Linked DNA regions of Macaca mulatta. The protein of the gene in region 2 binds, or shares a complex with, the protein of the main gene of each other region. Links are inferred from orthologs where the notes say so. Each region holds a gene or a part of one and is shown on either strand. Other genes may lie near its edges.

Region 1 (4,011 bases), on a different chromosome or scaffold from region 2:
GTGCTTATCTCTTCTCTCAATCTAGAGCAACCTTCTCAACATTTTCAACACTGTCAAAAACAAGTAATAACAACAAAAAAGGAAACTGCATAAGAAGATTAGCAACAATTACCATTTTTCAGTACAAATCAAAACAGCAACAAAATTCAGGCTCACTGTTTAAAAATAAAGATTAAAAACCTCTTTGGGTGTAATTTCTACGACAGTCCAGCAACATCAATTTAATACCTGTTACATCTCAACGTTTGTTTAAAATTATTTCGCTCTGGGAACCTGAAATTTCAGGATGAATTAGCAAATCTGGTGAAAAAGCAAATGGCCATTTTTACTTTTAGTGTTTTTGTTTCTGTTTCACATAGGCGTTCTGTCTGAGCAGATAGCTAAGAGCAAAAGAAGTAGGGTCAGGCACAGGTAGGGTGACTCAAGTGAGTTGGCCCAGTTCCTGGGCTGAGAAAACTAGGAAGAATGGGGAATAAATGGGGCTTGCTTCATAAATGTGAGAGGGCTAGGAAAAAAACAAATTCACCAAGATAGTTTAGCTGTCACATGACAAGTGGGAGTCTGGAGAGAGAGGGAGAGACCGCAGAGCCGTGCAAAGTGGATACTGGAGACATACAGGTAGGAACAAAGGATACAAACAAAAACCTAGATACTTAAAAAAATAAATAAATATTTTGGTCATCCCTAGCCCACGAGGTCAAGGTCTGCCCAAAAGGCTCTCGACCAATAACGCTCACCCTCCTGCGCCCAGTGATGAGGACCTGGGACACATCGCAGTCTGTGTCTTCGTTGCAAAATTGCCATCTCTGCCCAGTGGTCCAGTGACGTCAAGGAAGAGGCCGAGGCTCATTCTCCTCTCTCTAATCACTCCCTCCCCAGTTAGTCATGGAATCGAAGAAAACAGCTTGGGGGTGCGAGGAGGGTCTTCTCCAGCTGTAATGCCAACTAAGGTGCTTTGGGTAGCAAAGCTGGGGGTGAGGAGGCCCAGGAGGGAGAGAAAGGCCACGCCAAAGCCGGGCTCCTGGACGGAGGCCGCTCAGAGTCTCTGCGGCTTCCGCTCGGTCCGCACGGACTGCAGCACTACCTCCTTGGAAGGGGCCGCGCACTTGTACTCCATCTTGGCCCTGGCGGCGCCCTGCTTCTTGCGCAGGTGGCAGAGGAGCGCCAAAAGCGCCACCACCAGGCACAGGCTCGCGATGGAAATGCCTATGAGCACGCCCGAATGCACGCGCCCCACGGCCGGGGGACTCGAGGTGCAGCCGGGCGTCGGGCCTCGGGGGGGCTCCCCAGAGCCGTCGTCACCACCATCCACCTCGGCGGAGTCACAGTCTTTGCCAATCAGGCGGACACGGGCCGAGTCGGGCCCGCAGATGCACTCGAAGGTACCGGGGAGATTGAGGCACACCCCAGAGCAGTAGCCGCCGTTTTCACACTCGTCGATGTCCGAGCACATGAAACCGTCGTCCAGGATGTAGCCGTCAGGGCACTCACAGTTACCCCGGGTGTTGGGGTCGCAGTCGGCTGGACAGGCAGTCTGGTTGCAAAACATCTGACACCTGTGCGGCTCGTGGGGAATGGGCGCGAAGCCCTCCGCGCAGACGCAGAGGTAGCTTGTTTGGTTCAAGGGCTGGCACTGGTACTCGCAGTTGGCTTTGAAGCACGGGTCCACGGGCTCCACACACTCGCCGTCCACCAGGTCGTAGCCAGGTTTGCAGTGGCACTCGAAGCCACCCTGTTTGTTGACACAGCGCTGTGGGCACGGACTGGGCACCAGCAAGCAGTCATCCACGTCCTCGCACCGGTGTTGGTCGGCCGCCAGCCGGTAGCCCGTCTCGCACATGCACGAGTAGGAGTCCGGCTTGTCCGGGTTGGGAACGCAGAAGTGCTCACAGAGGTTGTTGCAGGAGTGCGTGCAGGAGCGGCCGTCTGCCTGCAGGGCGGCGCCGGCTGGGCACAGGCAGCGGGGAGCCCCTGCGATCGTATTGCACGCGTGCTCGCAGCCGCCGTTCTCCACGCTGCAGTCCCAAGCGCCCGGCGCCTCCCTAGCCCAGTGCCCCTGGACCGCTTTGGGCGGTGCGGCGCACATCAGCTCTAAGCCGAGGGGCGCCACCGCGGCGGAGCTGCCCACCGGCAGCGCCTGGAAGTCCGCTCCGCGGGCCGCAAACGGGGTGCGGTAGGTGATGGAGACGGCAGCAGTCGCGGCGCCGGGCTTCACAGCCAGGGGCCTGCAGGTAGCTGGGAAGTAGAACTCGCAGAGGAAGCCATCGGCCTTCACATCGCACTGCTGCTCCTCCCAGACCGGCTCGCCGGGCGCAGTGGCCCCAGCAGCGGAGACAGCGACGCACAACGGGCCGCAGGGGGGAGCCCCATTGAGGTCGAGCCGCGCCCACCTGCTGTAGCTGGTGTTGCTGTCTCGCGTAACCCACTCGAAACCGCGCAGGGGCCCGAGGGGCTTGGGGTCGCCGCAGCCGGGTGGCAGCTGAAGGCCGATCCAGAGGCGCCGGCTAACGCCGCGGTCGCCGCTCAGTAGCAAGGAAATGACATCGGCAGCCACTGAGGAGCGCACTGTCATTAGGTGGCCCCGCAGTCTATTGCAGATCTGACTGGCATCGAGGAAAGTCGCGGGGCCCGGGTAGAGCGCGAAGCAGTCGTGCTCCACGCACTGGCTGCCACCGGGCTGCGGTTCTACGGGTGCGGGGAACCCCGGGCCGGCCAGGGTCAGCACGCCAAGGAGCAGGACCCCGAGCATGTTACCCAGGCGCACAGCGTGCAGGCGCCGAGGAAAGCGCTGGCACTGAGACTGGGCCGTGCCGGAGCAGAGGAGCGCAGGACGCGGATGACGACAGCCGCTCCTGTCCATCAGCCCAGACACTTCTAGCCGCGGCGCGCAGCCCCTGCGAGGCAGCCTCTGACATGAGGATCGGCCGGGGCACGAGTTTATAAGTGCGCGGCCCTCCCTCCCTGGACGTTCGGGAAAAGGAAGGAAGTGCCTAGTGGGAAGGGCTGATGCCGCATACTCGGATTGCTGGGTTCTCTGGCCGCCCTGCGCCCGCCCTCGCGCATGGGATCACCTCGCGGGGATGAGTAAACTCTGCCCTGGCGCAGGGAAGTTCTCGGGCGGGGCCGGTAGGGGCAGGCGCCAGGGAAGGCCAGCACCCCTGTAGAGACACGACTGTCCCCGCCCCCACCACTCGGGCCCCCATGCGTGCAACCTCTTTCATCTCTTGGTTCTCCTTTCTTTCTTTTCATATATGTTACGGCCACTTCCAAGGAAAGCCTGGATTGCAGAGCTCTGGGAACCGGAGACTTCAGAGAAGAGGGCTTTGAATGGAGCGTGGGGGAGATGGTGCACAGGACCTGCAGGACGCTGGGAGGGGTGATCGGCACCAAGGGAACTTTGGCAGGAACTGCCTAGGACGTGGACTTCCCCAAAGACAGGATCGCAAGGAGAAACAGCTGGATCCCATCCCCGGCCTGGGTGCCTGGCTCAGGAAACCAGCGGAGCGTTTGGCCTCACAGGACAGTGGGTGTGGCTGGGGTGAAGGGGCAGGGCGGGGAAGACTGGCCTAACACCAGCGCCCTCTGCCCTATGGCTGGCCAGGGACCCGCAAGTCCCTGGGCACGCACGAGTCAACGCCAGACTCCATTTCGTCGGGTGGGGAAGCCGCGGGGACACCGTCAGGGCGCCGAGGTCCGGACCCCGCTCAGAGGCCGTGGCAGGTGGATTGCTGCGGCGCCGGGTAGGAGCAGGCGCGTGGGAGCAAGTCATCCTGGCCAGTTTCGGTCCAGCTTCCGAGGGACGTGCTTCTCTCACCTCAACAGAGTGGCTGGCAGTGCCCCCGGGGGAGGCGCTGCGGGATCCCAGCGGATCCCACCCGGGTCGGCTAAGGAGGTTTCCATTTCGTCCAGAGGCCGAATTGATACCGAGGTGCATAGAAATATCACTTGCTCGGCAAAGGGCACTGAAGAGCCACGGTCCTGTGGATGGGCAGGGTGGGGAGGGCTGGAGGA
Region 2 (3,500 bases):
GGTTTATTATGTGCCAGACACTTACGCTGTATATTTTGTTTAATCCTCTCAACAAGCCTGCAAGAGTGGCATTAGTAACCCCTTTAAAGGCAGACAGACAGAAGCCCAGAGAGGTTAAGTAACCTGAGGTCACACAGGCAAAAAGCAGCAAGACTGGGGTTCACATCCCTGTCTGTTCCGGTCCATGTGTGGTCTCACTCACTCTGCTGCCTCCTTACCCCTCACCCACCAGGCCAGGATCAAGTCACTGTAGCGATGACTCCACGCTCCAGTGTGAATCTGTCACTTCCATCGGAAGAGTGTGTCCCTGATCGGGGGCGGCAGTACCAGGGGCACCTGGCAGTGACCACACATGGGCTCCCCTGCCTAGCCTGGGCCAGCGCGCAGGCCAAGGCCCTGAGCAAGCACCAGGACTTCGACTCGGCCGTGCAGCTGGTGGAGAACTTCTGCCGCAACCCAGACGGGGATGAGGAGGGCGTGTGGTGCTATGTGGCCGGGAAGCCTGGTGACTTTGAGTACTGCGACCTCAACTATTGTGGTGAGCTGCCTGGGTAGGGGCCTGAGATGCAGGGACGAATCCTGGTGGGAATAACAACAGTTGCTTCTGCTTACCGAACACTTACCGCGTTGAGTGTGCTCATAACAGCCTTACAGTAACCAGGTAGGGGTAAGGTCCTGCGCCCATTTCATAGATAAGTACATTGAGGCCCCAGGAGGTTATTGCCTAGTAGCCCAACTGTGCATGCACTCTTAACCTCTGCACCAAACGGCCTCCAAGGCCCACAGGGGAATTGGGGGGATCTAGGGGATGCGTGAGGAATGGCCCGGCCGAGTCCCAGCCGGTGCCCGGGTCCCAACAGAGGAGGCCGTGGATGAGGAAACAGGAGATGGGCTGGGTGAGGACCCAGACAGGGCCATCGAAGGGCGTACCGCCACCAGTGAGTACCAGACTTTCTTCGATCCGAGGACCTTCGGCTTGGGAGAAGCAGGTGAGGTAGTGGGCATCTGAGGGACGCGGGGCTGTGGGGCTGGTGGCCAGCACTTGCCCCTCACCGCTTGGCTTGCTCTGCAGACTGTGGGCTGCGACCTCTGTTTGAGAAGAAGTCGCTGGAGGACAAAACTGAAGGAGAACTCCTGGAATCCTACATTGACGGGCGCATTGTGGAGGGCTGGGATGCAGAGATCGGCATGTCACCTTGGTGTGTCCCGGAGCCCTGTGCTACCATTCACTCCTGGGGGCAGGTGTGCTGCTGGCCCCCCACCCTCCGGCCCTGCCCACAGGCCCGGGCTTTATAGATGACAACAGCTGAGCATCCAGGATCCCACCGACCCTGCACAGCAGCCACATGAGATGGGTTATTTCCTTCCTTTTTTTTTTTTTTTTTTTTTTTAAGGTGGAGTCTTGCTCTGTCACCTAGGCTGGAGTGCAGTGCCACAATCTCGGCTCACTGCAACTTCTGCCTTCCAGGTTCAAATGATTCTCTTGCCTCAGCCTCCTGAGTAGCTGAATTTACAGACATGCGCCACCACACCCAGCTAATTTTTGTTATTTTAAGTAGAAACAGGATTTTACCATGTTGGCCAGGCTGGTCTTGAACTCCTGACCTCAAGTGATCCACCTGCCTCAGCCTCCCAAAGTGTTGGGATTACAGGCGTGAGCCACCGCACCCGGCCCATGGGTGCTTTACTTCTAAGCAGATGGTAAAGCTGAGGCTCACAGAGCTGGTGGCTCACCTCCGCACACTGCTAATGGGTTTGAATCCAGTTCTTCTGATTCCAGAGCTGGGCTATGCTGTGTGAACTCTGGACTGGAAGGACCTAGTAAGGGAGTACAAAAAGCAGGAGGCAGGTCAGGTGCAGTGGCTCACCCCTGTAATCCCAGCACTTTGGGAGGCCAAGAAGGGAAGATCACTTGAGGTCAGGAGTTCAAAGCCAGTCTGGGCAAAATGGTAAAACCCTGTCTCTACTAAAAATGCAAAAATTAGCCAGGTATAGCAGCATATCCCTGTAGTCCCAGCTACTAAGGAGGCTGAGGTGGGAGGATTGCTTGAGCCCAGGAGGTTGAGGCTTCAGTAAGCTGTGACTGTACCATTGCACTCCAGCCTGGGTGACAAGAGTGAAACCCTGTCTCAAAAAAAAAAAAAAAAAAAGTGTGAGGCAACCCCTCAGCATCACATGGAGGCTCAAGGCCCAAGGGCAGCCAGCCCAAGCTTGGATCTGGGCCCTGGAGGCAGCTCTGCCCCGCTGGGTTCTTAGACCTGGGACTTGTTACTTCTAGGGCTGGTGTACAGGCAGCCCCCTCACCCTCAGCTCCTAATGCTTCCTGCTCCCCCTCCTAGGCAGGTGATGCTTTTCCGGAAGAGTCCCCAGGAGCTGCTGTGTGGGGCCAGCCTCATCAGTGACCGCTGGGTCCTCACCGCCGCCCACTGTCTCCTGTACCCGCCCTGGGACAAGAACTTCACTGAGAATGACCTTCTGGTGCGCATTGGCAAGCACTCCCGCACCAGGTACAGAACTGGTGGCCTGTGGGTGTCTGGCAGGGGTCTGAGTCCTCCAGAGCGACCATGACGGGCCCTGGTGGCTCCGGGACAATGGGATGTTCTGTATACCCCCAGAATATGACATCCCGGCAGTCTCTGCTGGAAAGTCCATTTGGTCATGTCCTGACTGAGGCTTGGAGCTAGAGGGGGGAAACCTGTCTGTCTCCTGGGCCCTCCAACACCAGGATATGGCCCATGTGGGAGTCTCCGAAAAGAGAGTCTGTCTGGACCAGGGTGTGCAGCCTGTGCCCTTGTCCCTGTCCTCCTGACTGTCTGACTCCAAAGCCCTGCACGGCTTTAGGCCCAGGAAGAAATGGCCAGGGGGCTGCCACGGCAGGAGCCAGCCCTATCCCCTCCCTGGTGGCCTGCAGGACACCCTGTCTCCCAGACCCCAAGGGCAGGCAGTTTCCTGCCCCTTGCTGGGTGAACCTGCAGCTTCTCCATTTCTCTCTTGGGGTCTCTGCAGGTATGAGCGAAACATTGAAAAGATATCCATGCTGGAAAAGATCTACATCCACCCCAGGTACAACTGGCGGGAGAACCTGGACCGGGACATTGCCCTGATGAAGCTGAAGAAGCCCATTACCTTCAGCGACTACATCCACCCGGTGTGCCTGCCCGACAGGGAGACGGCAGCCAGGTGGGCAACCAGACGCTTATCAGCTGAGGGGCAGAAGCCGAGTTCTGGGCCTGGCTCTGATACCAGGCAGCCTTGCAGAGCCCCTTTCCCTTTTCCAGGCCTCAGTTTCTTGGAGTGAACCCAAAAGTTCTTTTCAGCACTGGCGTTTTATTTTTTATTTATGTTAAAGAAACATAATAAATAATTTATTGACGGAGTTCTACTCTTGTCTCCCAGGCTGGAGTGTAGTCGTGCGATCTGGGCTCACTGCAACCCCTCCTCCCAGGTTCAAGCGACTCTCCTGCCTCAGCCTCCTGAGTAGCTGGGATTATAGGCTAATT

What was found. Proteins that work in one complex are often made in the same cells at the same time.
Region 1: the proteins of F2 (region 2) and THBD are in contact, whole or in part, in a crystal structure (PDB 1DX5), measured with the Homo sapiens proteins. The link is inferred for Macaca mulatta from reciprocal best matches to the Homo sapiens genes F2 and THBD. Residues at the interface, in NP_000497.1 of Homo sapiens: Phe382, Ser385, Pro386, Gln387, Leu423, Arg425, Thr432, Arg433, Tyr434, Arg436, Asn437, Glu439, Lys440, Ile441, Met443, Lys470; in NP_000352.1 of Homo sapiens: Ser424, Cys425, Glu426, Cys427, Tyr431, Ile432, Leu433, Asp434, Asp435, Thr440, Asp441, Ile442, Asp443, Glu446, Asn447, Gly449, Phe450, Asp479.

What each region holds. Positions count from the first base shown.
Region 1 is NC_133415.1:60,998,216-61,002,226, reverse strand, and holds the start of THBD (thrombomodulin precursor), read right to left. Parts: upstream 2,801-4,011; 5' UTR 2,750-2,800; coding exon 1,037-2,749; 3' UTR 1-1,036. UniProt on the Homo sapiens protein: Endothelial cell receptor that plays a critical role in regulating several physiological processes including hemostasis, coagulation, fibrinolysis, inflammation, and angiogenesis.
Region 2 is NC_133419.1:18,870,576-18,874,075, reverse strand, and holds part of F2 (prothrombin precursor), read left to right. Parts: intron 1-232; coding exon 233-538; intron 539-860; coding exon 861-989; intron 990-1,072; coding exon 1,073-1,199; intron 1,200-2,339; coding exon 2,340-2,507; intron 2,508-3,006; coding exon 3,007-3,180; intron 3,181-3,500. UniProt on the Homo sapiens protein: Thrombin, which cleaves bonds after Arg and Lys, converts fibrinogen to fibrin and activates factors V, VII, VIII, XIII, and, in complex with thrombomodulin, protein C. Functions in blood homeostasis, inflammation and wound healing.